Linked DNA regions of Saccharomyces cerevisiae S288C. Changing the gene in region 3 together with the main gene of any one other region gives a genetic interaction. Each region holds a gene or a part of one and is shown on either strand. Other genes may lie near its edges. The genes, in order: TKL2, HXT15 and POS5.

Region 1 (3,759 bases), on a different chromosome or scaffold from region 3:
AGAGAATCTGTATTCTTCACTTTGCCTGTCAAAAGTATAAAAGTCTGGCAGGGAAACAACTCTTGCTTTGATTTTTTTAGTATCGTACAATTTTTTGGCTGCATCTATAGAAATGGAGACTTCTGATCCTGTTGACACCAGGATAATATCAGGATTCTCCACGTCATGGATCACATAGCCACCCTTCAAGGCTTTTTCAAAAGAGGAATGCTCCAATTGAGGAAGATTCTGTCGTGATAAAGCCACAACAGATGGTGTTCGACCAGATTTGATAGCAGAATAATACGCAGCAGAAGTTTCGTTACCATCAGCAGGTCTCCATACATGCATGTTTGGAATAGCCCTCAAGTGAGCCAGAGTTTCAATAGGTTGGTGCGTTGGACCATCCTCACCAAGCCCGATAGAGTCATGTGTTGCAACCCAAATGACTGGATTACCAGACAAGGCGGCTAACCTAACGGCTCCTGCAGCATAAGAGACGAAGTTCAAAAAGGTACCACCGTAAGGCTTGTAGTTTGCACCAAAGGCAGAGATACCGTTCATAATGGCACCCATTCCGTGTTCCCTCACACCGTATCTAATGTACCTTCCTGCATAGTTACCTAGTTGGGTAATGGGAGGTTGGAAATCTACCGCGCCTTCCCACCTTGTCAGATTCGAAGGTGTCAAATCGGCAGAACCACCGATCAATTCAGGCAAAACTTGGACCATGTTCGTCAGCACCTGCTGGGATGTCTTTCTTGTTGCCAGAGCATCGTCGTCCGGAGTAAACTTCGGTAAATGCTTTTCCCAACCTTCCGGTAACTCACCATTCAATCTTCTTTGCAATTCTTTACCCTTCTCGGGAAATTTGGTTTTGTATTCTTCAAACATCCTATCCCATTCCTCATTAAGTTTTTGACCGGGTTCCACAACAGTCTTCTTATAATAATCGTACACCTCTTGAGGTACTACAAATGATTTATTTGGGTCAAACCCCCACCTCTTCTTCAACTGTTTAACATCATCTGCCTTCAAAGCGGACCCATGAACACCAGCAGTACCCTGTTGTAGGGACCCAAATCCAATTGTAGTAGTTACCTTGATTATGGTTGGCTTGTCCTTCGATAGTTTTGCCTTTTCCAAAGCGCTAGAAATGGATTCCATATCGTCGTCTCCTTTATCGACTTCCATGACTTCCCAACCATATGCCTCGTATCGCTTCAAAACATCTTCGTCGAACGAGTACGAGGTTTTACCGTCAATGGAAATGCTATTACTGTCATAAAACGTAATCAAGTTACCCAATTGCAGATGTCCCGCTAAGGAAGAGGTCTCCGAAGAAACACCCTCTTGTAAGCAACCATCCCCTACAATAGCAAACGTATATGAGTCGGAAATGGGAAAGCCATCCTCGTTATAAGTGGCGGCAAAGTTGGCCTGCGCTATTGCCATACCAACAGCATTTGAGATACCCTGGCCTAGCGGACCGGAAGTGATTTCCACTCCCGCTGAGTGGAATTCTGGATGACCCGGTGTCCTTGAGTTTACTTGTCTAAATTGTCTCAAGTCCTCGATAGAGTAATCGTATCCTAATAGATGGAGCATTGAGTACAGAAGAGCGCATGAGTGACCGTTCGACAGAACAAACCTGTCTCTATTGATCCAATGTTCATTGTTAGGGTTACAGCGCAGTTGCTTGAAAATTACATGGGCAACTGGTGCCAATCCTAGTGGTGCACCTGGGTGGCCAGATTGTGCGCTTTCCACCTGGTCAACGGAAAGTAATCTTAAAGTGGAAACCGCAAGTTTATCAATGTCGGAGAACTGTGCCATTTTTTTGTTCTTTTTTTGATTAGTAAGGTATAATCGTCTACGTAGAGGTTACAAATCGAAGACTACAGTAAGAGGGGACAAGCCAATTGAATATACGACTGAAATAAATGGAATAATTCTGCATTATTACACTCGTTTATATATCCAAACAGGTGATCTGGTATTCTCTTGACAACGAATGAAGCTCCCTATATTCGACACTCCTTATTCAGGACTCCTCCCAACAAGGAGAAGTAGGTGTTCCTTGAGCTACCCTTTAAAGCTGGGGAGATGAGCTTGCCCTTCCTGTCATCGCCATTATGACGAGAAAAGTAAAACATGTAGAATAAGGTCCACCCAAACATGTCCGAGCAATGACGTTATATATCGTGTTCCCTGTTCAAAGCATGGCATATGTGCCATTAAAGGCGAATTTTTGTCCCTAGCAAAGGAGAGACAGCGAGCCACCATTAAGAAGTGACTTGAAAGCAAGCGAAAATAGCTACACATATATATCAATATATTGACCTATAAACCCAAAATGTGAAAGAAATTTGATAGGTCAAGATCAATGTAAACAATTACTTTGTTATGTAGAGTTTTTTTAGCTACCTATATTCCACCATAACATCAATCATGCGGTTGCTGGTGTATTTACCAATAATGTTTAATGTATATATATATATATATATATGGGGCCGTATACTTACATATAGTAGATGTCAAGCGTAGGCGCTTCCCCTGCCGGCTGTGAGGGCGCCATAACCAAGGTATCTATAGACCGCCAATCAGCAAACTACCTCCGTACATTCATGTTGCACCCACACATTTATACACCCAGACCGCGACAAATTACCCATAAGGTTGTTTGTGACGGCGTCGTACAAGAGAACGTGGGAACTTTTTAGGCTCACCAAAAAAGAAAGAAAAAATACGAGTTGCTGACAGAAGCCTCAAGAAAAAAAAAATTCTTCTTCGACTATGCTGGAGGCAGAGATGATCGAGCCGGTAGTTAACTATATATAGCTAAATTGGTTCCATCACCTTCTTTTCTGGTGTCGCTCCTTCTAGTGCTATTTCTGGCTTTTCCTATTTTTTTTTTTCCATTTTTCTTTCTCTCTTTCTAATATATAAATTCTCTTGCATTTTCTATTTTTCTCTCTATCTATTCTACTTGTTTATTCCCTTCAAGGTTTTTTTTTAAGGAGTACTTGTTTTTAGAATATACGGTCAACGAACTATAATTAACTAAACATGGGTAAAGAGAAGTCTCACATTAACGTTGTCGTTATCGGTCATGTCGATTCTGGTAAGTCTACCACTACCGGTCATTTGATTTACAAGTGTGGTGGTATTGACAAGAGAACCATCGAAAAGTTCGAAAAGGAAGCCGCTGAATTAGGTAAGGGTTCTTTCAAGTACGCTTGGGTTTTGGACAAGTTAAAGGCTGAAAGAGAAAGAGGTATCACTATCGATATTGCTTTGTGGAAGTTCGAAACTCCAAAGTACCAAGTTACCGTTATTGATGCTCCAGGTCACAGAGATTTCATCAAGAACATGATTACTGGTACTTCTCAAGCTGACTGTGCTATCTTGATTATTGCTGGTGGTGTCGGTGAATTCGAAGCCGGTATCTCTAAGGATGGTCAAACCAGAGAACACGCTTTGTTGGCTTTCACCTTGGGTGTTAGACAATTGATTGTTGCTGTCAACAAGATGGACTCCGTCAAATGGGACGAATCCAGATTCCAAGAAATTGTCAAGGAAACCTCCAACTTTATCAAGAAGGTTGGTTACAACCCAAAGACTGTTCCATTCGTCCCAATCTCTGGTTGGAACGGTGACAACATGATTGAAGCTACCACCAACGCTCCATGGTACAAGGGTTGGGAAAAGGAAACCAAGGCCGGTGTCGTCAAGGGTAAGACTTTGTTGGAAGCCATTGACGCCATTGAACAACCATCT
Region 2 (3,759 bases), on a different chromosome or scaffold from region 3:
TGTTGATTAAATTTGAAATTACGTGTCACTTCGTTTTACAGTAGGCCCTATTTTTTTTCAAGAATTTATCTCTTAGCATGTTTATCAAGCGCGCATATTGATCAATTAAAACTCTTTGGGAACTTCAAAACTTCTTTCCAGCTTTTCTTCTTAGCCTCAGTTTCCCTGGAAGAAGCTCCTCTCCTTGAGGGTGGTACCCAAGATGCAGATTTCCATGGTTTTATACCTTCTTCATATAGTAACTGGATTTCCTCCAAAGATAGACCAATTGTTTCTGGTAAAAAGAAGAAAACGTACAAAAACATAGCAACCAAACAACCTACGAACACATAACCATAATAGAAGTGGATAGACCCAGTAATGAATGGTGTGAAAAAACCAATCAAGAATTGCCATAACCAGTTGAATGCAGTCGAAATTGACATTGCTTTAGATTTGACCTTCGAAGGGAATGACTCGGCAACCACAATATAAGCAACAGGGGCCCATGTCGTTGCAAAGCAGAATATATAGAAGCATGTGAACACAATCATGGCATTACCTGCACCTTTCGAGGATGGACCATCCTGGCCATGAGGGTAAAGACATTTTACCCCGATACTTGCAAATATGACCATACAAGCCATCATTGAAGCCGCTCCGAATAACAGACATTTACGACGGCCTATTTTGTCTACGACCATAACAGCAATAATAGTGGAGAAGAAATTCACTGTACCTAGGACGATCGAAGTCTCAAACCCATCAGTAAGCCCAACTGATTTGAAAATGGTAGTTCCGTAGAAGAAGAAGTAGTTTTCACCAGTAAGTTGCAAAAAGGTTTGCACAAGAATACCTGTGATCAAACGTTGAAGGACTTTTGTTTTGACGGAGAAAAGTTCTTTCCATGAGGCTTCCCCTAGTTCTCTTTGGGCAAGGACACCGGCGTTGATTTCATCAGCCTGTTTGAGTACCCATGGATCCTCTGGTGAAACCTTGTTGATCTTGGCGATGGAGACACAGGCCTCTTCATGTCTCTCACATTCAATCAGATATCTTGGGGACTCTGGAACTAATAACATGCCAACGATGATAATTAGAGCCCACAGAAAGCATAGTCCCACAGGAATCCTCCATTGCGCAGTATTACTATACTTCCTTGTTCCATAAACGCTACAATAACCCAAGAAAATACCGAAGGTCATGTTAAGTTGGTACAATGAGACAAGTCCACCTCTCAAATCTGTGGGGGCTATTTCAGATAAAAGCATTGGACACAACACCGAACAGCCACCAGCACCAAGACCGTAGATGATCTTACCGACAAAGTATTGGTACCATTTGTGATTCGAACTGATCTGAATAATTGCACCAACCATATATACCAAAACCACGATTACAATTGCTAGCCTTCTACCTAAAGTATCAGCAAGTCTCGCAAAAGCAACACCGCCAATGGAACATCCTACACTGAACATGGCCACGAGAAGACCCATACGCACGTTGCTCAAATAATACTCACCAGTACTGTGCTTGTAAGAACCAAAATTCATTTTAAAGTTATCCATATTGATGAAGCCTGCAGTAATACCACTATCCCAACCAGGTAAAAAACCGCCAAAGGATACAGGATAGCATAGTAAGTAGATAATAAGGTAACCTAAAAAGCCTCTCTTCGGTGCGTCTGGCGTATTTCCATTAATGACTTCTTTGTCATAAAACCCGTCTGACCATTCTTTCTCTCCGGGTGGCTGTACATGAACGTCAGCTGCACTACTGTTTAGATTATCTGCATTAATTTCTGGTGAGGACTGTTCGCTTGCCATTTTTTTCCTTTAGTTTCCTTTCCTCCTTTTCTGTCAATAATATCAATAGTTTTACTTCTATGGATAGTAATAAGACTAAACCTGAAGCAAACAATGAATTACTTACTTTCTTTATACGTTTGAAAGTTGGTGATTACAGGCCAACACTGGAGTTATCATACTTGAGTTATATAACCATGTTTAACTTTTTTGCAGAGCATTCGGAAAATCAAACCTTTAGCTGATTGCACTTATGATATTGAAAGGTTCAAGATGCGCAGTACAAGTCCTCGTTTGTTTACATCATCTACCTTGCCTGACTTCTTTGCTAAATTGTGCCTCTGCGCAGTGCACGTTCAAAAGAAAAGCATACCCCGCACTCTACTGTTTTTGCATTTTAGCTTTTAAGTTTTAAGTTACTACCACTGTAGCGCACAAAGCTAAAAATAATTTTGCCTGCAGCAGGCTAGCTGCATATTCATAGGCACATCATGAATTTACTGTAATACGAGACGGAGTTAAGCAAAACGGAGTTAACACAGGCGGAGACATGAAACAAGTTCAACTTCAGTAATAGTAATTGTCACGCAATATCTTGTGGAAATTTGCGTACAAGATTTTTTAAGCGCCAAAGGAGCCAAATACGGAAATAATTACCTAGTCCTTACCAAAGAAATAAAGAAAAAGAAAAAGAAAAACTGCAAACGTATAAGATATTTGGTACATTTTAAGAAGGGGATATTCACTTTAATGATCATATCGCTGATTTAGTAACCCAGATCAAGGACAAAGTTACTATTGTCGTCTTTTAAGGTGGAATCTGTGGTTAGGATCTTTACGAGTACCTAGATGATGTCATCTTTATGCCTAAGAGGTCTAGTGTCATAATTTGTTCAACGTTGCTTTTACCTCTGGCAATACTCCACAATATTTCAGGATTTGCTGCCAAAGTCCATTTTGTGCAAGAGAATGTTTATTACTGTTTTGATCGATTATGTTATCGAGGATTCTGAAAAAATGGTTTATGTCATCCGTCTGAGAAATTATGACGGAAGAATGTAAGCTGCCGGTTACAGGTAAGCAAAATATTTGCAAAGGAATTTTGAGAATTTATGGCTCGACGGCGAGATTTGAACTGTAAACGGATATGGTGAAATGAAGTAAGGGCATAATATTATCCAGCAGCTGTTCTCCCATATAGTGCGCCAAAATTGTAAACATTTTTTATATATTACGCTTTCTCCATGTGCAGGTCAATTTTATTCTTCTTTTCGTTGAAGTGATGTTACCTCATACAATGATTCAACTATAGCACCGTTTCATGCTAAGTTATTTGCACATTCTCCTTACCACAATTCCGTACAATTTAAAAATTTGAATAAAGCAGTATTGCAACAAGGCGTTACAGTCTTTGTTACCCTAAGCATGTCTCAAGAATCTATTCATGTGTGTTCATGGCTCTTCTTAAGATAATATTTCATACCTGGGGTGGCCGTTTCATATTTCTGTTTCTCTAACTTTATACCAGGAGAATTCCTTGTCTAATTTGCTACAAGTACCTTTTCAATATAAATAATTTTCAGTTAATTAACAGAGTAGGAAGAGGAAGGAACAAAAACTATCGCTTATCTTCTTGCATAGGGGTAGTGGAGTAAAGATACAAGTATTCGAGAAATAGATATACATTAAAATAGCATTACTATCCCGGGAATCTTGTTGCCATAAGGTGCTTTTATGATATCAAACCAGGGGGGAGAATATTTGGGAAGTAATTGGGAAGTAATTGTATGTATTTCTAAAATTTTTGGATACTCAACTTTTAAATTCAAAATAGTTATATTTGTTATCGAAATGTAGTAGAAATATTCTAAGTAACCAATTTCAAAACTGCATCTATCTTTGGATAAACTGGTGTGATAAGATATACATTGAATGCTGATGTCCATCACACATATGTTTACACTGGCGTCGCTCT
Region 3 (3,456 bases):
ATTATTGAAATCCACACTACTTAATAGTGCTGCACCATTTATCTCATAATTATTGCCTACGCTAATGAAAGCAAATCTTATTCCGACTTCAAATTGGATCTCTCCTCAAGAAAAGAAGCTCAATGACCTATTAGAGTATGAATACTTGTAAAACAAATGAACAGCGAGTGCTTGTTTAACTTTTTTTTTTTTTTTTTTTTGATTTTAGGAATTGATACGAAACATAGTCTCTCTCCATTTTCTCCCACAACAGGACTGCAGTAAGGATGTTATTATTAATAATATATATATTATATAATTATATCTTCTTGTTAAGCATGTCTTCCCTATATGTCACAGTTTTCTTAAAGCAATAGAATAAAAGACACAATACCAAAAATTTCATGTCGAGTATGTCAGTTGAGATTTCTCTAGACAAAATGCAAGAAAAAATAAAGATCTCTACTTGTCAAATACCTTTAAATCTTATCAATAGAATTCTTAGAGAATCTCATTGAATCTTTGCATTCAGAGCGTTTAATCATTATCAGTCTGTCTCTTGGTCAGCCTAAAGCTAGAATTGAATCCTAAAAGTTCATTGATTCCTCTAATCCAGTCATTCTCGGTCTTGGCGACACAATAAATCCCTGACCTTTTAGGCTTTTTTGAATTATTAAAGTCATTTTCAGTTTTTCTTGTCGTCGGAAGCTGAGTACCATCTATGTATATAGTGCCGACCTCATTTATAACATAAATTTCATCACCAACATCTAAATCCTGTTGAGGAATACCATCAACAGAAAGTTTTACCACACTGTTGACTGGTTTTTGGTTCAATTTGGAACCTATCTTTATCCTAATGTGGGATGAATGAGGCAAAATCAGTGGTCGGAATGACAAAGAGCGAGGACAAATTGGTGTCATTAAAATAGCAGGGACTAATGGGGAAACAATAGATCCACCTGCTGATAATGAATATGCTGTGGAACCCGTTGGAGTGGCCAATGCAACACCATCTGCTGTCGTTCTTGTCAAAAATTCCCCATCAATGAAAATGTCCAGGTTAGTGAGATGAGGGGAATTACCCCTATGTAAGAATATGTCATTCATAGCATGGGTCACAATAGATGAGTTGCTATCCTTTTTTTTCAAATGACATTCTAGCCGTGTTCTATGCAAACATTTGGCTCTAGAGCTGATTACTTCCTGAAAGACCTTTTTATGCTCCTTAAAATCAAACGGTGATAGAAAGCCCAGAGTGCCCAGAGCAAATGCTAAAACCGGAGGAACTTGCGTATTTCCGAACATTGATACGCCGTGTAAAATAGTCCCATCACCTCCCAATGTCACCAATAAGTCTGTTCTGTTTACGATATCTTGTTCAGGACCAGTATAAAGTATATGAGGTCGGTTGGGATCATTCTCCAAAGGAGATTTGAAATCCTGGGAAATTTCTTCTGCCACATCGGGTTGAACAATGACGTTCACCTCGGGGTATGACTCATGTAAATGAGTTATGAATTCAACCATCGCTTCTCTTGTGGATGGAGTCCATGGTTTTTTAGTTATATAAACATTTTGTAAAGGGTTCTGCCAGATTAAAGATTGTAATTTGGAATTTGGTGGGGACACGAAATCTGCTGATGAACTACTCCTCAAGTTATTTACTGGCTTTATTTTTACAAACTTCGAGCCGCTCTGTAACTTTAGGGAATGTGAATCCAACGTACTATAGAACCTATACCATTTTACTGGTTTATTCAATTTAACCCTGACAAACATTTTAATCAGTATCCTTAACCTTTTTATCCTTTTATTTATGAAACAGCGAATAATGAATACTTAGTCTTCTCCTGCCTTTTTTTATTTTTATTTTTTTTTCAATTTGGAGATTTCGGAAAATTGTGAAAATGTGTGAAAAGCACAAAGAAGAGTTGAGAACTGTGGAAGTTTCTTAAAAGTCGCAACTTAGTGATGCATATAGATACATGCAGCATTTCTGACAGTTACAGTTTTCAATAGCCATTGTGTGATTTAAATAGTGCATTGTTCTTTGTAACAATCTTGCAGTTAGTTTTACTTCGGTGAACTTAAATTTAAATTACTTGTAACGCATATATAGTACTTTGGTTAAAATTGTGTATTCCACATATTTACATTCTCGATTAAAAGGATTGACTTTCATAGCTTATCTAATAACTAGATCAACATTTCAAGTTGATGCCATGTCTTTTTTCTTCTTCTCTAATCTCAAACATTACCTGAACAGCAATAAATAGGCTTACCATTACCGCAGTCAAAAACTCCGGACTATGTGAATTGTTAAATATGCCCTTCAATAGAAGCTTCGTTCCCTCTGCACCCAAGCAAAATCCATAGACATTAATAATCATCATCATGCAAATATTTATTGCAGCACCGATACCGCAAACAAACCTGTACCAGCTTCTGAATCTATATCTACTAAAACAGTTAGTAATGTAGGTTTCGCCTAATAATAAAAGGACTGTTAACCACCCCCAAAACAACACTCGTAATTGGATGTCATGCCATATTGCTACAAATGAGAATACGGCAAAGCTCGTTAATATTTTGTTATTGGACCCGCCAAATGGAACATAGATGTAACGGATTACCCACTTGTTAAAACTTGTATGCCAGGCTCTCCAGAATCCCACTGTACTATAATTATTATCCACACATCGTAGCATATTTTCAGGTGCATCAATACCATCGACCATGGCCCACAGCCGAAAGAGCCTCCATGGGATCAAAAGTTTTAAATACATAATGTTCAAGTTGAACAGCGCGATCATAGCCTGTTGCAAGGGTGTATCATTGTTCCATGCCTTGGTCCTTGCTATTGCACCCACATAGATATAATGTAGGATAATTTCCATCAAAAGCAAACTCGAAAATACTTTGAGGGCATAGAAGCCTATGTTTTTTTTCGTTAGCGAAGGAAGCTTATTTTCTGATTGATAAAGGTAGTCATTAAAAGTGATAATTGGGCCCACTAAAAACAATGGCGCGTAAGTAATATAAGCGATAAAATTGATAAAGTTGTAATCCTGGATGTGATGTTCTGCTACCAGTCGTTCCTTTTCCTCCAGAACATTCTTACCTGACTCATAAATGGTTTGTAGAGTAGAACCAGATAAACTTTTTCTGAATTCAGGTCGTCTATCATCGTAATCTATCGAAGGTTGGCGGCTCAATTGTTCATGCCATCTTTCCAAAAAATCCATGGAGTAACTTAACAAACGCAATAATGTAAAATTGAAAAAAAAATCCCATCGAGGAACGATACCCTTATACCATTGATCCATGGGACTTAGGATGATAGCAATATTATTAAAGGGGAGATTTTTCATTTTTTGATTGATGAATAGTGTAAAGATACCATAGGACCAAATCGCAAAAGCGGCTATCAAACGCTTTCTCTTTAGCGAATGTGCCAAAGTGAAGAAAATAAAA

What was found.
Region 1: mutations in POS5 (region 3) and TKL2 together harm fitness more than expected from each alone (negative genetic interaction), as found in Saccharomyces cerevisiae (one large-scale study listed by BioGRID).
Region 2: mutations in POS5 (region 3) and HXT15 together harm fitness less than expected from each alone (positive genetic interaction), as found in Saccharomyces cerevisiae (one large-scale study listed by BioGRID).

What each region holds. Positions count from the first base shown.
Region 1 is NC_001134.8:474,623-478,381, forward strand, and holds the start of TKL2 (transketolase TKL2), read right to left. Parts: upstream 1,816-3,759; coding exon 1-1,815. Other genes in the region: TEF2 (translation elongation factor EF-1 alpha), read left to right, coding at 3,049-3,759. UniProt on the Saccharomyces cerevisiae protein: Catalyzes the transfer of a two-carbon ketol group from a ketose donor to an aldose acceptor, via a covalent intermediate with the cofactor thiamine pyrophosphate.
Region 2 is NC_001136.10:11,556-15,314, forward strand, and holds HXT15 (hexose transporter HXT15), read right to left. Parts: upstream 1,806-3,759; coding exon 102-1,805; downstream 1-101. UniProt on the Saccharomyces cerevisiae protein: Probable glucose transporter.
Region 3 is NC_001148.4:189,711-193,166, reverse strand, and holds POS5 (NADH kinase), read right to left. Parts: upstream 1,762-3,456; coding exon 517-1,761; downstream 1-516. Other genes in the region: GUP2 (putative O-acyltransferase), read right to left, coding at 2,184-3,456. UniProt on the Saccharomyces cerevisiae protein: Phosphorylates both NADH and NAD(+), with a twofold preference for NADH. Anti-oxidant factor and key source of the cellular reductant NADPH.